6 linked regions of the Macaca mulatta genome follow. The protein of the gene in region 2 interacts with the protein of the main gene of each other region in a biochemical or structural test. Links are inferred from orthologs where the notes say so. Each region holds a gene or a part of one and is shown on either strand. Other genes may lie near its edges.

Region 1 (3,500 bases), about 95 Mb from region 2:
CCACCATGCTCGGCCCAACCTTACCATCTGGACCTCATTCCCATCCCCCCAAAAAAGCCGAAGCTAATAATGATGTTAGAGCAACTTGCAGTTTACAGGAAATATAAACAATGGAGAAATAATGTAAATGATCCAGAAGGCAGCCGACAGACAAATTCAGAACACGAGCCATTCCACAGAACTCATATTCAACATGTCGGTGGCATAAAAAAGGGAGGTCTCACTGTGGAGGCGACATGGGTGTACACATTTAACAAAATTCATCAAAATGTACCCTTGAAATCTACTGTATGCAAATTTTCCTCCAGTTTGAAAAAAAGAAAAGAGGCTGGGTAAGGTGGCTTACGCCTGTAATCCCAGCACTTTGAGAGGCCAAGGTGGGCAAATCACTTGAGCTCAGGAGTTCAAGACCAGCCTGGGCAACAAAGCAAAACCCCGCCGGGCGCGGTGGCTCAAGCCTGTAATCCCAGCACTTTGGGAGGCCGAGACGGGCGGATCACGAGGTCAGGAGATCAAGACCATCCTGGCTAACACGGTGAAACCCCGTCTCTACTAAAAATACAAAAAATTAGCCGGGCGTGGTGGCGGGCGCCTGTAGTCCCAGCTACTCGGAGGCTGAGGCGGGAGAATGGCGTGAACCCGGGAGGCGGAGCTTGCAGTGAGCCGAGATCGCGCCACTGCACTCCAGCCTGGGAGACACAGCGAGACTCCGTCTCAAAAAAAAAAAAAAAAAAAAGCAAAACCCCATCTCTACAAAAAATACAAAGTTAGCCAGGTGTGGTGGTGCGTGCCTGTGGTCCCCGCTATTTGGGAGGCTGAAGTGGGAGGATCGCTTGAGCCCAAGGAGGTCAAGGCTGCAGTGAACTGTGATTGTGTCACTGCATTCCAGCCTAGGCAACAGAGTAAGACCCTGTCTCAAAAAAAAAGGGGAGAGATTTACCAACTGAATGAAATGTGTGGAACTTACAGGTATTCTAATTTCTTTTTTTTTTTTTTTTTTGAGACGGAGTCTCGCTCTGCCGCCCAGGCTGGAGTGCAGTGGCCGGATCTCAGCTCACTGCAAGCTCCGCCTCCCGGGTTCACGCCATTCTCCTGCCTCAGCCTCCCGAGTAGCTGGGACTACAGGCGCCCGCCACCTCGCCCGGCTAGTTTTTTGTATTTTTTAGTAGAGACGGGGTTTCACCGTGTTAGCCAGGATGGTCTCGATCTCCTGACCTCGTGATCCGCCCGTCTCGGCCTCCCAAAGTGCTGGGATTACAGGCTTGAGCCACCGCACCCGGCCAGGTATTCTAATTTCAATAAACCAGTCAAAAAAGACATTTTTGAAAGGACAATAGGGAGCCAGGCGCGGTGGCTCACACCTGTAATCCCAGCACTTTGGGAGGCCGAGGTGGGCGGACCACCTGAGGTCAGGAGTTTGAGACCAGCCTGGCCAACATGGTGAAACCCCGTTTCTACTAAAAATACAAAAAATTAGCCAGGCATTCTGACAGGCATCTGTAATCCTAACTACTCGGGAGGCTGAGGCAGGAGAGTCACTTGAACCTGGGAGGCAGATATTGCAGTGAACCAAGATCATGCCATTGCATTTCAGCCTGGGTGACAAGAGCGAGACTTCATCTCCAACAATTAAAAACAAAAACAAAAACAAAAAAAAAACAGGACAATAGGGGAAATGTGTCTATGGACTGGGTACTATGTGAAAACAAGTTAATAACCTCATACACCAAGACCTGGACTCAGTCAGGTGGATTCAGAGCCTGCATTCTTTTTTTTTTTTTTTTCCTCGAGAGATCGCTCTATCGCCCAGGCTGGAGTGCAGTGGCGCGATCTTGGCTCACTGCAAGCTCCGCCTCCTGGGTTCACACCATTCTCCTGCCTCAGTCTCCCGAGTAGCTGGGACCACAGGCGCCCGCCACCACGCCCGGCTAATTTTTTGTATTTTTAGTAGAGACGGGGTTTCACCGTGTTAGCCAGGATGGTCTTGATCTCCTGACCTCGTGATCCGCCCGCCTCGGCCTCCCAAAGTGCTGAGATTACAGGCGTGAGCCACCGCGCCTGGCCCAGAGCCTACATTCTTAACCCCCATGTTGTCTGATCAGATGTACCCTAAAACATCACCTCATGCAGAGAGAAAGTAATGCTACTGTTTTGGGCTTTAATCCACTGTAATGAACTTTCCTACCTCACCATCATCTAGTGCTCACCTGCCTTGTGCGGTAATAAAGGCCAAACTCTGCCATTTGGACCTACACCTCTTCTGTAGTTCCCTGCTACGTTTCCAGCAGAATTTCCTCCTGCATCCATTTCCTCTGCCTTAGCAACTGAACCCATAGTCGAATTCACCTCCCTGAAGCCTTGCACCTCCCCCATGGTGACCCTGCTGCTTCCTAACTCAAAACCCACTCCCCACCTAAATTCTTCAGTCTGAAATTCTTCCATTCTTCCCTGGCTATGTAATCTTGAGCAAATGAACTTTCATCTCTGAGCTCTGGTCTTCTTACCTGTGAAGTGGGACCAGTAACAGCATCTATCTCAGAGTGTTGTGAAAACCAATTGAGATAATGTAAGGAAACTTTATCTTATTTATGTATTTATTTATTTATTAGATGGAGTTTCGCTCTATTGCCCAGGCTGGAGTGCGATGGTGTGATCTTGGCTCACTGCAACCTCCACCTCCCAGGTTCAAGTCATTCTCCTGCCTCAGCCTCCCAAGTAGCTGAGATTACAGGCGCCCGCCACCAAACCCGGCTAATTTTTTTGTATTTTAGTAGAGACCGGATTTCACCATGTTGGCCAGGCTGGTGTCAAACTCCTGACCTCAAGTGATCCACCTGCGTTGGCCTCCCAAGGTGCTGGGATTACAGGCATGAGCCACTGCGCCTGGCCTGGAAACTTCATCTTATGCTAAACCTTACCATGGTGACTGGCACACAGTAGATACTGAATAACTTTCCATACCTTCCCTTTCACGATTGACCACATCTCTCCCTCCCTCCTTTACACGCATCCCCCGACCCAGCCTAGTCTTCCCTCAATTTGGCTAGCTGGAGGTTGCCATTCCTGGGCCAGCATGTGGTTCATGTGCTCTGCTGATGGTATGACCCTTGGCATCCCCCTACCGCCTCCCTGAATCCAGACTCACCCCCTGTGAGTGCAGATACTCCACAGTTTTGCCGATGGTGTGCAGGACGAAGCTGGCCTCCCGCTCCGAGAAGAACTTCTGCCGCAGGATCTTGTCCAGCAGCTCGCCACCCCGCATCAGCTCTGTCACCAGGTACACGTGTTTGCCATCATCGTACACCTGCCGAAGACCTCACCATCAGGCTCTTCTCCCCAGTGTCAGGCCTGGGCCCCCTGGTCAGCAGCGCCCCAGAGCAGGGAAGAATGACATGAGCCTTAGGCAGGTATTCTGCTTGCTCTTCAGTGGCCCCGCCTTCCCCAAAAGGAGGATGCTGACACTGGTCCCCTGATAGGCAAGAACGTCCTCAGAAAATGCC
Region 2 (3,500 bases):
AGATAGTATTCCGAAACCTGTATGTTTTTTTTCCTGTGCTTACGTACCTATGATAGTTTAACTTATAAATTAGGCACAATAAGAGATTCGCAATAACTGAGCTAATCTTAGCAACCTCAGCATACAATATTTTTTCTTTCCTTATTAAATCGAGAACTTTTCACTTAATAGAAGAGCACTTTACAGCCTTTTTTTTTTTTTTTTTTTTTTTAAACAGATGGGGTCTCGTTCTGTCACCTAGTCTGGAGTCCAGGGGCACAATCTTGGCTCACTGCAACCTCTGCTTCCCCGGTTAAGCGATTGTCCTGCCTCGGTCTCTCAAGTAGCTGGAACTACAGGTGCCTGCCACTGCACCTGGCTAATTTTTGTATTTTTAGTAGAGATGGGGTTTTGCTATGTTGGCCAGGTTGGTCTCGAACTCCTGACTCCTAACCTCAAGTGATCTGTCCGCCTCAGACTCTCAAAGTGCTAGTATTACAGGCATGAGCCACTACGCCTGGCCACATTACAGCTTCTCTTTGTCATATCTGAACTGCCAGCATCACAACTGTTGCATTTTGGGCTTTTTTTTTTTTTTTTTTTGGAGACAGAGTCACACTTTGTCACCCAGGCTGGAGAGCAGTGGCGCAATCTTGGCTCACTGCAAGCTCCGCCTCCCGGGTTCACGCCATTCTCCTGCCTCAGCCTCCAAGTAACCGGGACTACAGGCGCCCGCCACCGTGCCCAGCTAATTTTTTGTGTTTTTAGTAGAGACAGGGTTTCACCGTGTTAGCCAGGATGGTCTCCATCTCCTGATCTCGTGATCCGCCCACCTCGGCCTCCCAAAGTGCTGGGATTACAGGCGTGAGCCACCGCGCCCGGCCTGGGCTATTGTTTTTTATTGATACATAACATTTGTACATATTTGTAGGGTGTGTGTCATGTTTTGATACCAAGAGCATATAATGAACAAATAATGGTATGATATTTAGGACATCCATCCTTGAACATTTATCATTTCTTTGTGTTGAGAATATTTCCAATCTTCTTACAACTATTTTGAAATGTGCAATACATTGTTGTTAACTATAGTCACCCCACTTTGCTATCAAACGTTAGAACTTATTCTCTCTTTGTGTTTGTACCCATTAACCTAGCTTTCTTCATCCCTGCCCTACCCCACATACACTCTTCCCAGCCTCTGGTATCTCTCATTCTACTCTCTACCTCCGTGAGATTCACCTTTTTTAGCTCCCACTTATGAGAACATGTGATATTTTTCTTTCTGTGCTGGGCCATTATTAAGCAAAATAAGGATTATTTGAACACAGTACTTTAATACCGCAACAGTTGACCTGATAACTGAGTAGTGAGTAGTAAGACTAACAGGCAAGGAAGCACATACCACACGGAGGTGCTAGACAAACAGAGGATTCATCTCCAAGATGGGGCAGGACAGCACAAGATTTCATTACCCTACTCATAATGGTTCACAATGCAACTATTATGTATGGAATTCTCCATTTAATATTTTCAGACCACAGTTGCCTGCAGGTAAGATAACTGAAACTATGGAAAGCAAAACAGGATAAGGGGGAACTCCTGTATTTCAACCTAGGCAAGGGATCGCTTGGTAATGACTACATAAATCACTTGTAAGGAATGACAGTAACTTAAATTCTGCTTCCTTAAACATTCAGCATTTCTCCTGCCACCTTGTTATATATTTGTCATGAAGAAACCATTTTCCTCATAAAGCTAACCTAAACTGTTCACCATGTGCGTTAGCACATGAGCCAGATGAGTAGAATCTGAATTATGATTTTCTCTTTTTTTACCACTTTACTGATAATAGGCTTCGAAGACATGCCAAGCTTCCTTTGACTACCCACACCACTGTGTTTAATAGCTGACCAACCTGAGAAATGCCCCTTATCGCGAGTTTCCATCTCTTGGTACAGGTTAAATAAGCCTTATAAACTATTGTGAATTTACCAACTGGTCTGCTGCTGTACCACTTGCCAAATCATGACCTACCACCAGTGCTTCTCCAGCCCCAGAAAGAATGTGGGCAGAGGCAACGTTCAAGAAGGAACCGGCCAGCTAACACAGCCCCTCTGGTTCCAACCAATACCCCCAGAGCCATGGTCAACTGAACACAGGTTAGTCTGCACCTCTGAAATTCTAGAAACAGAACTTCTAGTGCTTCCTGATGGTCAGGGTTTCTCAAATCACTCTGTACCTCTTAGCCAGAGCTCAAAGATGCACCTCAGAACAGGTGGGGCTGAGCCACAGCTGAGGATACTATCAAAATGTTACAGGAGGGTGGAGATTTTTGCAGTATTCTCAGCAAAGGTAACAGTGCCTGGCACATCAGTAGGTGCTTAAGATTTTGTTGAATAAATGAATGACTATCTGGGCACCCAGATTTAAAAAAGATACCAATCTTACTCAAAAGTAGCTATTATGAAGACTCTCATTTTTCTTGCCTCTTATTCCTCATTCTCCTCTTCATTTTCACCCTAAGAGGGCTAGAAGCATCAATGCTCTGACCCCCTGACCTCAAAGAGTCCTCAAGTGTCAGCCTGACAAACACTCAGGGACAGGAGTGCCCAGTGCCCCCCACCCCCACTGCTGTCCAGTGTCCCTCCCCAATTGCACAACTGTGCAAGGCAAGGGAAAGGGCAGGGAGGGAGGGAGAGAGAGAGGGAGGGAGGAAAGCTGTTGCAAGCTATCTAAAGCAACTGAAAAGTCAAAGAAGAAAAGTCATTAACCAATAGCATCTTTGTTCTGGAAGCCTGTTGTCTGTGCCCTGCCCCTGCCTCCCCCCACTCCCCCCAAAAATTCTCACCTTGGACAGTTTTCAGAGAGAAGCCATAGCTGCCTCCCTGCTTCACGAGGTAGCAGAGCCGGGGCTGGGTCCAAGTTTGCACGCCTCCATTCATCACAGGGGAAAGTGTATTATCACTCAAACCTTGCTCCTTCTGACTTTGACCCAACTCTTTCAAGTCCACCTGTGTTTTCATTGCTTTCTCATAGGAATCCCCATCCAGAACTAGTAAAGTCACTGAATTCCCACTCTTTCTGACCAGATCCACAACCTAGGAGGGAAGAAGAAAAAATAACTTTAATAACCCTCTATCAACTGCCAGAGGGAAATGCTGACCATGTGGCTCCATATCTGGCCCTGGAGATCCTGCTAGTTGACCCCTGACACCCAAGTAGAAGCAGGTAGTTCCTCAGCCACCTCCATCCCTGCCTTCCCGAGATCCAGGTGCAGATTAGGCTGAGCTTCTGGCACTGCTGGAATATAGAGCATGGTCCAACCCCAGCCCAGAGGCTTCTTACAAGGACTGTCCCTTTCTAGAGAGGAGCACTGCCCTGGATTGTAACCGTACCTCCTGAGTGCATGGCGACAGCACAGTGTAAGGAAAAGAGCATGCTTTTGGAGTCAGGCAGAATAGGGTAAGGCCAGACTCTCCCATATATCCTCTGCATGAACATGTTAGCAAGCTAAGTTA
Region 3 (3,968 bases), on a different chromosome or scaffold from region 2:
CACAATACAGGCCCCAGAGGGAACCCTTTCCCAACCCCGGCTGACTTGTTGGGGACAGAGCTGGATTTGGGATTAACCCTAAATCCCCTAGATTCATACTCTCATGCTGACAAAACTACCTGAGCGCTCATCTGGCTGAGCTCTACAGTGAAACTTAAGTGGCTTAGAATATTTTCTGGTAATGGCCAGGCACAGTGGCTCATGCCTGTAATCCTAGCACTTTGGGAGGCTGAGGCTGGCTGATCGTTTGAGCCCAGGAGTTCGAGACCAGCCAGGGCAATATGGGGAAACCCCATCTCTACAAAAAATACAAAGATTAGCTGGGTGTGGTGGTGCATGCCTGTGGTCCCAGCTATTCTGGAGGCTGGGGTGGGAGGATCACCAGAGCCTAGGGAAGTTGAGGCTTCAGTGAGCCATGATCACACCATTGCGCTCCAACCTGACCAACAGAGTTCGACCCTGTCTCAAAAAAAAGAAAAAAGAAAAAAAAGGAAAAAAAAAAGGATATTTTCTGGTAAAAGCAAACAAAACAAAGCCTTTTATCAGAGTGTCTGGGTTTGAATTCTGACTACTCACTGGTTGTGTGACCTTGAACCAGTTACTTAGCCTCTCCGTGTCTCACGAATAATTCCTACTTCCTAGGGCTGTTAGGAGGACTAAATGACTTAATATTTGCAAAGCAAATAAGCAACATTAGAATAATGCTCAGGGAATTGTACATGCTACATAAAGAAAAGAAGAAAAGCAACTATTTAATTGTAACCAACATTTGAAACCAGTATTTGCTGGCCATTCACTCACTGCCCCACATTCATCTGGTGTTTATTGAATGCCTACTGAGTTTATTAGGCCAGGCATAAAGGGCAAATACCTACCATCTAGTAGGAGCAACGGAAATAAAAATACTTTTTAAAAAGGAAAACATCATCATTCTAAACAGAGATTTGCACACAATTCTAAGAAAGGCCAGAAAAAGAACATTGATCTATTTCCGTGTAAACCTGGAAAAAAAAAAAAGAAAGAAAGAAAGAAAGAAAACACCCACAGTTCAATCCTTTGAATCCATTTAAAAGACTGACTATTTGGTGTAACTGGTTTGTGCATTTAGACCTGGCTTCGGTACACACGAGACTTTTGGAAAATATTACCATTCAGTGCCATCTATTAGACCTCTCTGGATGTTTTTCTTCTACCTTCCTCACCTGTCTGTCACCTCAAACGCCCAGAAAATAATCTGTGAGTTCATCCCTAGCCCTCAGATACCGGATGAGGGAGGGGATGTGGGTTCAATGAGACCAACCTCGGTCATTTTAAGAATCAATTTATAAATATTTGGGGAGGGGCAGGATTAGAGAAAAGTAACTTGTAACGTCTCAACTAAGGAAGCAGCAGCTGCTGCATTTAAAAATCTTGGTGGCTTAACTCAAACCAGTTGGTTTAATAACTGATGGAAAAATGAAATTCCGCCAATCCGCACCCCTCCCCCAAATCCACCGAAGTCTCTCGAATGTAATCGCTCTGAATGCCCTGAGCCGGGTCAAGCTGGTGTCTATGTTTGGCTGGAGCGGACCCTGCGGAGTCCCGAGCCCCGGGTGAGGCGATGCCCAGACTGGCGCGGCGCGGGGTTTCCCGGCAGCCGCGCAGAGGCCCACCCGCCTCTCCGGCCGACTGCAGCGGGCGCGCCTGTACTCTACAAGACCAAAACGCTTTGGAAAGCGCTCGGGGCTGCAAGTGACGCCTGGCACGGGCGGCGGGCCGGACTGCCGGCCTCACAGCCCTTCCCGGGCTCACACAACCCGCGGGCCGCCCCCGCCGCCCACGAACTTCAGCGGGCAGACGCTGGACGTGCGGTCTGGCGACTTTCCTAAACTCCAGCGCCCGATCCGCGTCGCAGGGTCGGCCGCGCAGCGCGGAGATCGCGGGTGCCCAGGCTTGCAGAGCGAGCGTCGCGCTCCCGGCCGCGGTGGGGGAACAGGAACCGCCGCCGGAGGCACCGTCTCCTCCCCTGAGACTGCGATATTGATCAAGGGCTCGCAGGCGCGGGCGGCATTCATCTCCCCGGGCTCGCAGCTTGCCGCGGAGGGGAAAGGGCAGGACGCGCTCCCAGGACTAGGGCGGGGGCGTGCGGAGTCGGGGAGCTGTGCGGGGGCTCTGGGGTGAGGCGGGGAGCCCCGCTTCAGAGTCTCCCGTCCCAGGGCCGGGGTCTGCAGGGGGGTGTGGGAGGTGGAACCTCCCCTCCCCTAGGCGTCTGCCCCAAAGCCTGGAGCGATTCTTGGCGCGGAGCCGGCTACCCGGGTGGGCGGACCCCCTCCTCCGCCAACATTCCGGCGGCTTCGCCACGATTTCTTGTCTCACCTGAGTCTCCCCCTGCCTACCCAACCCTGGCTCCAAAGGTCCCGAGAGTTAGGCTGCCCCGGAGCCCAGCCTTCCGGGACCTGAGCACGGCTCTCCCAGCGCCCCCGCCCCCATCGCACTCACAGCCCAGCCCCGTCCCGCGTCCGCCAGGGGCCCGGGACGCCAGCGCTCGAGGACTGGCCGGCGGGCTCTTACCTTAACGAGCCGGAGCTGTGGATGCCGTGCCATCCTCGGGCTCGCTTGGCTACCGTCCTGAATGCCCGGGTCCCGCGGACATCCCAGAGGGGCCGGCGGGCGGCTGTGGGCTCGGGCGGCACGGGGTGGGCGGCCGGGCTCCTCGGTCGGTGCCTGGTGCGGAGGTGCCCGGCTCGGCGCTCCCCGGCCCCGCGGCCCGGCCTGGCCCGGCTCTCGCTCGCCCCTTCCCGGGGAAGTCTGGCCGCCGTTTCCCGACTCAGCCTGGCCCGCGGCCGCCTCTTGCCGGCCTCGCCCCCGCCGCCTCCCCCACGGTCCGCGCCGCTCCTTGCCTCGGCTCCCCGCCCCCTCGCCCAGCTCGTCCCCTCCCCTTCCTCCCCCTCCCTCTCCCCTCCGCTCCCCTTCGGTCCCTCCTCCGCGCCTCGCCCCTCGGCTCCCTCCCCGCTCCTCGCCTCCTCGGTTCCCTCCCCTTCCCCCGGCCAGCTCCCTGCGCCCCGCCGCCAGGATCCCCTTTCCTTGCGCCCGCGTTTGCGGCAGTCCTCGGGGCGCGCTGGCAGCGGTGGCGGCCGCCGCAGCCCGGGGAGAAGCCGGGGATGGGGGAAGGGGGCCGCGGTAGAGGGTCAGCCTTCCGCCCGGCCGAGGTCGGGGCCTGGGAAGTCCAAGGATTCTAGGGGGACTTGGGCAGGGGTGCTCAGGTGAATTTATGAGGGCGAGGCTACTGGGGGCTAGAGAACAGGGCGGTCCCTACTGAGCGGAGCCGCCGCGGAACCGGGTGAAGCTGCGACCTGCGTTTGGGCAGTTCCCGCCCTGCGGCTGGCTAGGAGGAGCTCCTCGCCGCCCCCATTCCAGCCGCGCCGGGAGCTGGGCCCGACCCCCAGCACCTTTGGCACTGATGTGCCTGGTGCGCGCTGAGACGCGAACGCTCTGCAGGATGAGCCCTTATTCATTCCTTGGTTTCTTCCTTCATTCGTTCATCTTACAAACTGAGTGCCTGGCCACTTTGGTTCAGGCAAGAGGCTGGATCTGGGAACCCTTTGGACCTGGGAGCCCCAAGATGAAAGGGAGACGGCGGTGCCCTGCAGGACAAGCGGGCACTGAACGCTGCCCAGGGGAAAGCCGGGCGCGCATTGCGCTGCAGCACGGCGAACGCCGCTAGGAGCCCGCGGGCAGGGCGTGGGGAGGACACAGCGCCCCCTCCCGGCCGAGCCCTCAGGGCAGCGGTGGGCCTCCCCGCCAGACCCCGGGGCCGTCTTTTGGATTGGCTCCGGAGCTCCCCATCCCAGGAAGGAACTCCCAGCCCTTCCTGATGAACAGAACTTTTGACTTCCTCTTCGCTCTTCCTCTCTCCTACCAGAGCTGAAAAGGGAGAATAGGAGAAGAGGAGTCACTGGGAGGTAGAGAAAAATTCACTCCGCCAGCAA
Region 4 (4,261 bases), on a different chromosome or scaffold from region 2:
GTACACAGCAATGAGTAGTACACTGAAAAAATATAGCATCTTTCCTCCAAAACGGAGGCTGCTCATGTGATCCCAGGTGGATGGGAGGCAGAGTGATATAATGAATGAAACCATGTGCTTTTGAGTTAAAAGGGTCCTGGGTTTAAGTTTCAACTCTGCCTTTTAGTCTCTTTTATTACTGCAGCCCTCTGAGCTTCAAACTCTCCTCTGCCAAAGGAGCACTGGAGTGAGTACTGATGAAAAAAAAATGGATGTGAAGTGATTAACTTGGTGCCCAACACACACGAAGAATTCAGTCAGTACTAGCTGACAATCACAATAAAATTTGTGACAATAATGTACAAAACTCAGAGAATTAAATAGCAGCCTTCTTTACGGCCAAGTAAAAGATGGGGCCATTTCATCCGGAGAAGAGCCAACCAGAAAGACATGAACAATTCTATTTACTTTCCTTTATTTTTATTACACAAGTAGTACATGTTCATGGTAAAGAAAAATTACAATGTAATACAAGCTGAAATAAACTTAAATTATGAACTTTACCACCAACCAGACATATCTAAAATTTCACATATATGCTTTTTTTCATCTTTCTTGAAATATATACAAATATTTTTAAACAAAAATAAGCGCATTTATAATACTGTTTTATATCTTGCTTTTTTCTTATTTCCATGCCATGATCACCTTTCTTTGCCAAATAACAACATCAATGTCATCATCTAACTGGCTACAGAATAACCAATTATATAAACATTATGAAATATGTTTAACCAATTTCCCACAATAGCTATTATTTAAGTTGTAAGAATGGACCATGTGCCCTGGGCTAAACCAGATTGGACCAGTTCTGGTTCCACCTGGAAAAGATCCTATGTTCTCTCGGTCTCATCTTTACCATCTTTAAAATAAGAATTACTCCAGTTCTTAAGGCTAGTATGTGGATCAAATGAACTGATGCATGTAAACGTGTTTTGTAAAGTACTATGTGAATGTTTACATTCATTAATGAAGGTACTAAACAGGTGTTCTCCACTGAGTCAAAACAAGAAGAAATTTGATTAACATGCTGTTGGTCTCGTTGGCATGATTCCTGGCCTGCAGCAGGCTAGGAGTGCAACAGCAAATGCTTCAACGTGGTTTAGGGGCTCTGGCTCTGTTTTCAGTCCCCAATGGGAGAAACCAGAACGCAGCCCTGGCATAAACTCTGTCCACTTTCCTCCTGAGGACATGAGGTCCAGAGAAGGTAAGTGCCATGTCTATGGGGCTCCTGAAAGCCAGAGTGAGCCACCTTCTGCCTCCAAATCCAATGCCATCGATCTTCACTGTGCCCACAGTGTGTTAGTGACTGGCCAGCTATTAAATGCCCACCTTGTGTTTAATCTTGAAGATTGCAAAAGAAAGGAAGCCTGGCTGCCTTGGCAGATTCTAGCAGATATGGGCGTGATTCAGGTACATTCAGAACATACGACAGCCTCAACTTCTCTAACTTTTAACCATCGAAGCACTGGAAACAAATCCACCTCTTTAAAACATTAGTAAATCGAAACACAAGTAGATTCTCATCTCAAGAGTTTATGTGGCTGAGGTAGATAGAAATTTCTAGAAGTCTTATGTTTCCCCCCAAATTATTCTATAATTTGCATTATGTATGTAGTGTTGAAAGGGAGATTTGATTGGATTGCCTGAAATTATACCTTCCTTTCTCCTAATACATATTACTCTCAGGTATATGTCAGAGACAGAAAAATATTTTGAATGACGTAGGTCATCTGTTTTTATGCCGACCACCTATTAGAATCACCTGAGAAGTTTCTGGAAAACAAGACAAAATACTGCAGATGACTTGCTGATCTCTAAAAGTTAAGCTTCAATTATTCTAGGGGTAATTTTCTAATCTCCTCAGAGTCAGGTGATTCTGGCTTGATGTGCAGCCAGAGTTGAGAAACACTGGTTAGGGTCCCAGTGGGGTAAGGAACAGATTATATGCTCATGATCTCACATACTCTTTCACTCTCATTGTGCCTCTAAGCAAAACCATTGAAACATATGTGCTCAGATTCAACTTCTTCTACCTCTAAAACAAGACCCTGAATGAAAAAAATATATCTTATATAATAAAAGGACCCAAACTATGAAAAATAGGATAACTGCTATACAGCTAAAAATGGAGGAAGTAAAGTTCCTCAATGCAATATTATGCAGCAGCTTTAATTTATGATTACAAAGAATTCACAGCAACATGGAAAAACCATAGACTGAAATGCAGGAAATGAATATAAACGTGTCCATAGTGCAGGGACGCAACTATGAAAACTAAAGTTATATGTGCATATACACATTCACAAACACGCACACACACACACACATACACACACACACACACGGAAAACCCCCAAAATATCAATAGAGGCTATCTTGGTGGAGAATTTGGCTTCCTTTAACATTTTTGTACTTTCACAGTATTTTTTAAACTACCATGTACATGATAGGAAAATAATATTTATAGTAGAACAAAACAAATTTACTTTTCAAAAATTACTCCTCTATTACGTGATCTTCAAGTCATGATTCTCAACACTGAATTAACAAAACAAAGATTAAAATGCCCACCTGAAGTTCTCTGTCTTTCAGCTGCCCTGGCTTCTGCTGCCTCTATCTCTTCTGCCTTTCTCCTCCAAGTAATTCGGATTGCTCATTTAAAAGAAAAGGGAAACAGCAAATTATATTTATGAACAGTGCCAACCAATAGCAAGAAAGTCAGGAAGTGTAGCAGGTCATCTGTGCTTTTTAGAAGCCAGTATAGATGTCAGTGCAAGATCTCTTCTCAAGAAGGGGGAAGATTTCCAGTTAAGGGCTACATCTAAAAAGAAGAAACCTAAAATTGCCCTGCCCCTCTAATGACTGGTTTTTGTCATTATCTTTCTCAAGAGAACAAGCGGATATAATGGGTTAGAGTCAGGGATTTTAAGTGGCTTTTAGTTCTCCTGAAAGGTTTCTGTTTCCATGGCAACAGAAATAGCAACACTGCCTTACACACACAGCACTTTAGATTTGTTTAAAGCACTTCCCTCACTCACTTATATTTTCAATTCACTTGCACTCCAGCAGAGACCTTATCCACTCTGCTGAAAATGTTCTGTCAGAGGTTACCAATAACCTTGTTGCTCACATAAAAAATCCTTTCTCAGTCCTCACCTTCCTTCCCGTCTTGTTTGCATAGTTGACCACTACCACTTTCCTGAAACTTCTTCCTTGTTTCTCTGACTTTCCTGGTTCTTTTTCTCCCCCTCAGATTGCTCTTCTTTGCCTCTCTTTCTGATGCCTCTTCTTCCATCCCTTTTCTACATGTGAGCTTTCCCCAGAGGTCTGTGTTCTGACTTCTTCCCTCCTTCTCTTGCTCTTATCTATCTGATGCACAATCATGGCCAAATTTAATGTGACCCAGATGGACCTTTTCTCTTCCCCTCTTAGTCCTGCATCCCCCCATCTACCCTGTCTAAACAGTGGCACCACAATAATTTAGTCCATCCATAAACCTAGAAGTCACTTTTAACTTCTCTCTTTCTTCCACCACCCACTTCTGAGCCAACAAGTTCCATTTGTTCTGCCCATAAAATATGTCCCAAATCCAACCATTGCTGACCTCCCCATCACTGTTCAAATCCTCATTTCCTGGATAGAAAGCTGCAGTAACATTAAGCAAGAAAAATACATAAAAGGGATCCAAATTGGAAATAAATAAGTAAAATTATATCTGTCTGCAAATGATAAAATTTTATACGTAGGAAAACCTGAAGATTCCATACACACACACACACACACACACACAAAACCCCAATAGAACTAATAAGCAAATTCAGCAAAGTTGCAGGATAGGAAATCAATACACAAAAATCAGTTGCATTTATATATACTAACAATAAACAACCAAAAATGGAAACTAAGGAAACGATTCCATTTAGAATAGCATCAAAACGAATAAAATACTTTGGATATATACTCAGTAGTAGGGTTACTGAATCTTGTTGAGATCTCTGCACTCTCATGTTTACTGTAGCACTATTCACAATAGCCAAAATATGGATCACCCTAAATGTTCATCAACAGAAAGATGGATGAAAAATGTATATATTCACAATTGAATACTATTTATTGATTTAAAAAGAACAAAATTTTGTCATTTGTGGCAACATGGATGAGCTTGGAAGACATTATGTTAAGTGAAGTAAGCCAGGCATAGTAAGATAAATACTGCATG
Region 5 (3,500 bases), on a different chromosome or scaffold from region 2:
GCAGCCACCACCAGAATAATATTCATCATCAAGCACCTGTTGTTTCCTGGGCTTCCCAGCCTCCCAGGCACAATGTGAGCCCCTCACGTGTACGCTATAGTCTAGTCTTCACATTACCCTGGGGTATATATATAGTACTGTCACCAGTTTACAGATGGGGAACCTGAGGCTCAGAGTGAGTAGCTCACCAAGCTGGCAGGTCTTGGAAGATGAAGAGCTGGACCTTGAGCCTGGCAAGGCTGGGATGTGAGGGATGCTCTTTTTTGTTTTTTTTTTTTTTTTTTGAGATGGAGTCTTGCTCTCTCTCCCAAGCTGGAGTGCAATGGCACAATCTCGGCTCACTGCAACCTCTGCCTCCTGGGTTCAAGCGATTCTCCTATCTCAGCCCCGCTGAGTAGCTGGGATTACAGGCACCTGCCACCATGCCCGGCTAATTTTGGTATTTTTAGTAGAGATGAGGTTTCACCACTTTGGGCCAGGCTGGTCTTGAATTCCTGACCTCAGGGTGAGCTGCCCACCTCGGCCTCCCAAGGTGCTGGGTTTACAGGCATGAGCCACCACACCTGGCCGAGAGATGCTCTCTTGGGCTGTACAGCGTACGACCTTCACAAGTGTACATGGGGAACCCATCCTGGCAGGCTCCAGAGCCTAGTTCTGGCTGTCACACAGCCACACTCTGAAGGTCTGTCCCATCTACCTTTCTGCCAAGTGATAGCTGGTCGGGGAGCCCCCGAGGTCTCACATGCCAGCACCACTGACATGCCGTCAATCACCGTGCTGTCCAGGGGGCCTCTGGTGATGTTAGGGGCGATGCCTGCAAACAGAGAATTGGGGCCTTTTAGCCACACCCTGGGATTGGCCCCCCAAGTCAGAGGTCCAGGGGCCTCCAAGCCCACCGAGGGCCAGGCCCTCATCCTCTGCCTCCCATGGTCAGGGGCCTCCACTAGGAAGGATGTGGGCATCTTGATGGGGCCCCAGTGTTGGGAGGAAGCCCAGAGGGGCCATGAGGACTCCCCTATGTCACCTGCCCTGTGGAAGGACCCAGGTGACACCAGTCCCTACCCTGCTTGGATTCTCAGGCCTGCATTTGGGGGAAACTGAAGACCCCAGAAGGCAGTTCACATCCTCCCTGACAAGGTTATTGGGGTTCACAAGCCAAAAGTGAAAGGAAGGCTCTGGCTTCTTAAAAGAAAAACAGCCACAGTCAAGAGGGGGACTTGGCCACTTTCTAAGTGGCCCTGCCCCAGGACCTCCATTTGGCTGTGGCCACTGTTTAGGGTTGGAGCAGCCTCCTGGTTCTGCGCTCCCCTTGCTTCATCCCAGCACTCAAGGAAGGAGCTCGCCAGACACAGGAACAGAGCTAAGTTCACCTGTACTTGGAAGTCAGAAGCAAGACAGCAGCCCCTTGGTAGCCACCTTTGGGGCACACCCAAAAGCTCTCTGCCCCACAGCTGCCCTGTCTGGGGCCTCTGTGGGTCTGGGTGATGAACACTATGGAGCTCAAAGAGACCCCTGAACATCCCCGTGTTTCCTGAGGAGCCCACCAGTACTTTGCACTTACACAGACCTTTGAGCTTACGGGCCACTCACAGTATCATCTGCTTTTTTTTGAGACAGGGTCTCACTCTGTCACACAGGCTGGAGTGCAGTGGTGACATCTTGGCTCACTGCAACCTCTGCCTCCTAGACTTGAGTGGTCCTCCCACTTCAGCATCCCAAGTAGCTGAGAGTACAGGTGTATGCCACCGTGCCTGGCTAATTTTTTGCATTTTTGGTAGACGAGGTTTCGCTGTGTTCCTCAGGCTGGTCTCAAACTCCTGGGCTCAAGTGATCCACCCCGCTTGACCTCCCAAAGTCCTGGGATTACAGGTGTGAGCCACTGCACCCGGCCCACAGTATCACCTTTGACTGCTAAAACAGCTCCGGGAAGTGGCCAGGGCAACTATGACAACCCGACAGAGACTCCAAGGGCAGAAAGGGATTTGCAAGCAGGAGAACTAAGAGAAAAGCACCAGTTTTCTTCTTTGGAAACATGAGCAGGTCCTCTGGAATGGGGTCACTTCAGCTCTGCCTGGGAACCCAGGGGCAGTTGAAATGCCAGAGCTGGTACCCATGGTTGGTTTCATAGCTCCTTTTCTCAAAAAGCCGTGAACCCAACCTGGGCCCCAGGACACTGGAGAGAACTTCTAGGGACTGGAGATTTCCTCCAGGGCTCTGGACTCGGGGCTGCAGAGGCAGCAGGGGTAACTGGCTGTGCCCCAGGCTGCTGGGCAGCAGGCAGCCTTGGGGATCCTCTCTGCATCACGGAGCATGCTGTGCTCAAGAGCCCCCTGAGAAGACCTTGGAGGAAAGCCGTGTACTGGGAAGAGGGGCTCACGGGCAGGACAAGGGAAGGCCCGACTTACTGGTGACAGCCAGGTAGGTGGAAGTTTGCACCTCGCCGGCTGCATTGCGGGCGAAGCACTGGAACATGCCGGTGTCATCGGGCACCAGGCCGCTGATCTGCAGGCCCCCGTCGCTGCGCTGCCGGAAGCGGGCCAGCTTCTCCACCTCCACCACGGCCGCATCTTTGTACCAGGTGATGGAGGGCGGCGGCACACCTGTGGGCAAGACGTGGACCCACTCTCAACCTGCCTCCTGCCTCCTCTCCGCCTAGGAGGGGTGCTTGGGCGGAGGCCAGGCCTGGAAATCTGCGAGGGGGTCCCTGGTGAATCTTGGTGTCTAGAACCTTCTCAGAGGTGCCACTTTGGGTCTAGGGAGAGGAGGAAGATGCTCTTAGAGTGACAATTCTCAAAGTCTTTGGGATAGAGTAAAGATCCTGGGATCAGTTTAGCATGGAAACGCTGGATTGGACAAACTAATTTATTTATTTTATTTTTTATTTCTATCTGTGTAGAGATGGGGTCTTGCTAGGTTGCCTAGGTTGGTCTAGAACTCTTGGTTTCAAGCATTCCTCCCACCTCAGCCTCCCAAAGTGCTGGAATGACAGGTGTGAGCTGCTGCACCTGGCCCAATTTCTTATTTTTTATTGCAATACTTAGCAGACACACGTGTGCTCTGGGAACCTCCAAGTGGGGATACTTTCCCAAACGCATGGCGCCCTGTGTTGAAGAACATGTAGAGGGTCCAGTGTTCCCTGGGGGGCACCTGGAAGCCCCCCATACCGGCTTTGCACATGGAGGTGAAAGGAGGCTCCTCTCCCCACTCTCAGCCTGGCACGTTTTCAGAAGTTTCCCCAGCCAGGCTGGGCGCCGTGGCTCATGCCTGTAATCCCAGCACTTTGGGAGGCTGAGGCGGGTGGATCACCTGAGCTCAGGAGTTCGAGACCAACCTGACCAACATGGTGAAACCCTGTCTCTATTAAAAATACAAAAATTAGCCTGGTGTGCTGGTGCATGCCTGTAATCCCAGCTACTCAGGAGGCTGCCTCCTTGTACCTGGGAGGCAGAGGTTGCAGTGAGCCAAGATCGTGCCACTCCATTCCAGCCTGGGCGACAGAG
Region 6 (4,197 bases), on a different chromosome or scaffold from region 2:
TAACTTCCTACACATGCCGGCTCTCTTTGGGGACTGTGGAGTCCCCTCTGATGAGTGGGTCCTGGTCCCTGTTCTCTAGCAGACAGACACATGCATTGATTCTGTCAACCCATGAGGCAGACTGCAGCTGTGTGCTGTATGTGCGGGCATGTGTTGTATCTTTCCACCCGCAACCCTAGCCTAGTTCAGTGCTGCCATGCCTGGCACAGAGGGGCTCAGAAGATGGGCCTGGCAGCACAGATGCCAAGGCAGGCAGAGACAGGAGAGGGGAACAGGCCAAGAGATGAGGAGAAGGAGGGAGGAAAGGAGAAGAATGAGTAGGAGAAGGAGCACTTGGGAGGAGCAGGGGAGGCACCCTGGGGACCCAAGCCCTGGTTGAAGTGGGTGTCTTGGGCTTGTGGGTGGTCCACTCTGCCAGGCTCCTGGCTTTCCTCCAGCCCGTGCACCCCTGGCCTCTAGCACTCCCCAGCCCCCAGGGATAGGAGAGTCTCCCATTCCCCCGGGTGGAGAGTGGGCAGGATCTCCTCTGAGGAGGGAAGTGGAGCACAGCACCCACCATGAGTACAAAAAGCAGAGGAAGAAGGGGACCGAGACCACCAGCTGCAGCAGTGTCCAGTCCCGCACACCGTAGGCCACTGCGGCCGTCAGACCATGGCCGAAGCTGAAGCCCAGAGAGTTCAGGGTCATCACCAAAGGTCGGGCCTGCGCCGCCGTCCACTCCATCACTGCAAGGAGACCGAGTGGTTCAGCCCTGGAGCCTGCATGGAGCCCCCCTGCACGGCACCAGGTCAGAGACCTACAGAGAGTGCCCGTGTTCATCATGACACCTGCTACGGCAAAGGCCAACAGGAAGCGGAACAGGCAGTACACGGGGAAGGTGGGGGCGAAGGCAGCTGCCGTGCCCATTACAGCCATCTGAAGGTAGCTCCAGGTTAGCACCAGCCTGCGCCCGAACCTGCGGCACAAACCAGGAAGAGGCAGGGTCTGTGACTGGCCATGGCACTGGCCACGGGGATCTGGACCACAGAGAGCCCACCCTCTGCTTGGCCGCTGAGCTGAGGCGGACACTGAAGCGGCACCTGGGTGAAACCTGCATTCTCCACCCATGGAAGACTCTGGAGCACAAAGAGAGTCCCGAGGCTGGAGCCAAAGGGAATGGGCTCCGGTCACCAGGAGCACTCAGGTCACAGCTGAAGGCAGGCGTGTGGCCAAGCCAGTTTTAGCAGTGAATGTTTGCTGGGGAGTAGCAATCCTCTACAACCCCCAGAATAAAGTCAGTGAACTTGAGGCTCAGAGAAGGTTCCAGACCTCCCTACATGGCACAGCTGCAGGGTGGCTGGTCCGAGACCCACCTCCAACAAGGAGGGCGTCTAGACTTGGTTTGTTGAGGCTGGTTTGGGGCCAGTCGGCCAGGGGCCTAGGAGAGCGGGGTCGTGAGGGGAACTGGGACCTTCCTGGACTGGGGGTACTCACCTGTCTGAGGCAGGGCCGCACGCAGCAGCTCCCACCAGAATCCCAGCCAGGTAGATGGACTGGGCCATGGGCTTCAGGGCATGAGAGTCACACACCAGGTTCCACTAAGGGGAGAGGAGAAGAATGAGCTCAGGAGGCTGGGAGAGCCCGTGCGGAGGGGCAGAGGAACTGTATGGGAGGGCCCCCAGGGAGCTGGGTGGGGTGGGTGGCCTGGTGACCTCTAGGGCTTTAGAGCAAGACCCTGTGGAACAGTGAGGGCACCCACAGGCACAGTTTGGTCTTCTGAGGAGTATATCCTGCCACCCTTTGCCTAAACTCCTCCCTGGCTCCCTATTGCCCAATGGGTTTCTAGCCACATCTGCCCCGTCTCCTGTCTGTCCAGTTGGAAGCAGCCACCCAAACTGACACCCTGGCCGCTCTCCCGGAGGCTGCGTCCCTCCTGTTCTTTGTAAAGAGGTTCTTCCCGCTTGTTGGGACGAGCCGCCCCTGTCTGCTTGCCTGGCCTTGCCTGGCGCCCCATCTGGGAGGCAGCCTGGGGTGGTCCCTTACCCTGTGTGCTTTGGTCTTGGGGAATCCAGTGAATGGTCACTGAGTCCCCCTGTGGCTACGTTGCCTGGAGTCACAGCTGATGGGTCAGCAGGGCCGAGTCTGGGTGAGGCCAGTGAGTGTCCAGGTGCCAGCATTTAGAGGCGCCCGCCCAGGTGCCCCCTGCACCTCCAAGAGCCTGGGCTGGCTCCATCTGTAGACTGATCCCTGCCGCCCAATCCCCTGTGTGTGGCTGACGAGGAGCTGAGAGGCTCGAGAGTGAGCAGGGCCTGAGGAGGTTGGTCCCTCCCAGGACTGGACCTTTGAGTCTGAGCCACCGTGATCCATGACTCTGACCTCCAAGGTGGCAGGACTCGAGTGGCTCTGGGGGAGGCCCTACCTTGGCCACGATGGTGGAGGTGAAGATGCTGCGGTCATAGACCCAGCCGTCCACACACGGCTCTGTGTCGGCCTCGCTCCAGCTGGTGGCCGTGGCATTGGGGTCCAAGATCTGCCACTGTGGCTGGCGGAAGCGGCGGCATTGGTGGGGCCCCTGGTTGGGGCCCGGTGGGATGGAGACAGCCAGGAGGGCCTTGGGAGTCAGGCCCCCTGGGACGCCGGCCTGAGCCGTGCTGTTGTCCAGGAGGGGTACCCAGCAGCGGTGGCTGGGCACAGCGGCTGAGAAGTTCTCCAGCATGCTCTGGGTACTCAGCCACATGATGGAGACCATCAGAGCCACTGTCTGGAGAACCTGGAACCTGCCCAGGCCACCCACGAGGTCCAGGAGTTCAGAAAATGCCATGGAACCTACTCAAGGGGCCCAGAAGAGGGCCCACTTCACAAGGGCTGGCCCAAGGCAAAGGGGCCAGGGCCACGGGCCTGTTTCCTCCACGGTGGTGCCCACAGTGGCTTCTCCAGCCCGGCGGCTGGGAGCATGTCAGTGGCTGCTGGCTTCACAGACTCGGGGCTGGGGGCTCAGGCTGTCTGGTCATCTGCCTGCTGGTGTCACTTGGAGTGGCTCCAACCGGACCCTGAGGCTGCGTGAGGTGATTCCGAGACCTCCAGCATCTCCCCAGAGAGGCAGCTGCTCCAGACCTCCCGGAAAAGCTGAATTTGGAAAGTAGGAAATGTGGAGACTGAAGACTTTAATTCTAGACTGGAATTAAAGTGTGACTGGTGACACTTACGGAATCGAGTTTAGCAATCATTTCCTTGGTCAAAGTTTAACCCGCGTTGAGGGAGGCGCAGATGTGAGGGAGATGCAGCCTCCTTCGCTCGGGGGCCAGGGCCAGCCCGCTCTTTGCCAGGTCTTGGGAAGGCCTAAGTTCTCCTCCTGGCGGCTGTGGGATGCCAGGGCTGCCTGCCCCCTTCGGTGCCCCTGCGTGCCTACCTCCCAGAGTGGCTGAGCCAAAAGAAGGCGGGCCCGCAGATCCCCCTAACTTGGGGCTGGGGCAGCTGTGCAGGTCTCTGTGTGGGCTTGGGTCACTGGCAGCTGCCCAGCCCCTGCGCCTCCCAGGCTGTGCGGCCTGGCCTTGCCCATGGCTCCACCCGTGGCTCCTGCCTCCACTCACCTGCTATGGTTGGCGTCCTGTTCCCCCTTTGCTGTTACCCTGTCCTGAGCCCTCGGTGGAGCTTCCCAGCATCAACAGACACCCCACAGACTCCCCAAGTTCAGTGTGCCCAATGCCTCCCTGAGATCTCTGTCCCCTCCCCAAATCTACGCCTCCTGCAGAGCCCCACCTCAGCTATGGCCTCCCATGTCACGGTCCCTGGCCTGGAACCCAGCGTCTTGGTTCATGCCTCCTGCTCTCTGCCTCCCAAACTCACAACAGGCCAAGCCTGGCTAGTTTTGCCTCCTAAGGATGTCTCTCTCCCACCTCCCCAACTCCACAGCTGTCCTTGCCCTTGTCTTTCTGCCTCAACTCCTGTCCCTGGACCCACCCCGCACTGCAAACCCTTGGGTCAAATCCTGCTTAAAAGTCAAGGGGCTCCCAGGCAACAATAGCTAGTGGTGCCTTACCAGGGCAGGGGGGCGGGCAGCAGTGTGTGCCGGTGCAGGGTGTGGGGTTCAGGAAAGTCTGGACCGAAGCCAAGAGAACCCCCTTGGTCTTGATAGCTAATTCTCTAGGCGAAAGGGCCAGAAAACACAAAGCAGTTAAAAAGTGTGTGTGTGTGGCTGGGTGTGGTAGCTCATGCCTG

Evidence for each region.
Region 1: the proteins of PDZK1 (region 2) and RPS6KA1 interact in a test that uses a peptide from one of them, tested with the Homo sapiens proteins (2 studies listed by BioGRID and IntAct). The link is inferred for Macaca mulatta from reciprocal best matches to the Homo sapiens genes PDZK1 and RPS6KA1.
Region 3: the proteins of PDZK1 (region 2) and CRHR1 form a complex in vitro, tested with the Homo sapiens proteins (2 studies listed by BioGRID and IntAct, with this or other methods). The link is inferred for Macaca mulatta from reciprocal best matches to the Homo sapiens genes PDZK1 and CRHR1.
Region 4: the proteins of PDZK1 (region 2) and CYSLTR2 interact in a test that uses a peptide from one of them, tested with the Homo sapiens proteins (2 studies listed by IntAct, with this or other methods). The link is inferred for Macaca mulatta from reciprocal best matches to the Homo sapiens genes PDZK1 and CYSLTR2.
Region 5: the proteins of PDZK1 (region 2) and SDK2 interact in a test that uses a peptide from one of them, tested with the Homo sapiens proteins (2 studies listed by IntAct, with this or other methods). The link is inferred for Macaca mulatta from reciprocal best matches to the Homo sapiens genes PDZK1 and SDK2.
Region 6: the proteins of PDZK1 (region 2) and SLC22A12 form a complex in vitro, tested with the Homo sapiens proteins (2 studies listed by BioGRID and IntAct, with this or other methods). The link is inferred for Macaca mulatta from reciprocal best matches to the Homo sapiens genes PDZK1 and SLC22A12.

The regions. Positions count from the first base shown.
Region 1 is NC_133406.1:214,424,455-214,427,954, forward strand, and holds part of RPS6KA1 (ribosomal protein S6 kinase alpha-1), read right to left. Parts: intron 3,305-3,500; coding exon 3,146-3,304; intron 1-3,145. UniProt on the Homo sapiens protein: Serine/threonine-protein kinase that acts downstream of ERK (MAPK1/ERK2 and MAPK3/ERK1) signaling and mediates mitogenic and stress-induced activation of the transcription factors CREB1, ETV1/ER81 and NR4A1/NUR77, regulates translation through RPS6 and EIF4B phosphorylation, and mediates cellular proliferation, survival, and differentiation by modulating mTOR signaling and repressing pro-apoptotic function of BAD and DAPK1.
Region 2 is NC_133406.1:119,618,036-119,621,535, reverse strand, and holds part of PDZK1 (Na(+)/H(+) exchange regulatory cofactor NHE-RF3), read right to left. Parts: intron 3,081-3,500; coding exon 2,831-3,080; intron 1-2,830. UniProt on the Homo sapiens protein: A scaffold protein that connects plasma membrane proteins and regulatory components, regulating their surface expression in epithelial cells apical domains.
Region 3 is NC_133421.1:70,692,705-70,696,672, reverse strand, and holds the start of CRHR1 (corticotropin-releasing factor receptor 1), read right to left. Parts: upstream 2,801-3,968; 5' UTR 2,584-2,800; coding exon 2,551-2,583; intron 1-2,550.
Region 4 is NC_133422.1:27,853,390-27,857,650, reverse strand, and holds the start of CYSLTR2 (cysteinyl leukotriene receptor 2), read right to left. Parts: upstream 2,801-4,261; 5' UTR 2,614-2,800; intron 1-2,613. UniProt on the Homo sapiens protein: Receptor for cysteinyl leukotrienes. The response is mediated via a G-protein that activates a phosphatidylinositol-calcium second messenger system.
Region 5 is NC_133421.1:83,093,308-83,096,807, forward strand, and holds part of SDK2 (protein sidekick-2), read right to left. Parts: intron 2,601-3,500; coding exon 2,406-2,600; intron 815-2,405; coding exon 698-814; intron 1-697.
Region 6 is NC_133419.1:9,804,191-9,808,387, forward strand, and holds the start of SLC22A12 (solute carrier family 22 member 12), read right to left. Parts: upstream 2,801-4,197; coding exon 2,399-2,800; intron 2,324-2,398; exon of another isoform or gene 2,023-2,323; intron 1,578-2,022; coding exon 1,474-1,577; exon of another isoform or gene 1,360-1,473; intron 991-1,359; exon of another isoform or gene 956-990; coding exon 801-955; intron 726-800; coding exon 557-725; intron 1-556. UniProt on the Homo sapiens protein: Electroneutral antiporter that translocates urate across the apical membrane of proximal tubular cells in exchange for monovalent organic or inorganic anions. Involved in renal reabsorption of urate and helps maintaining blood levels of uric acid.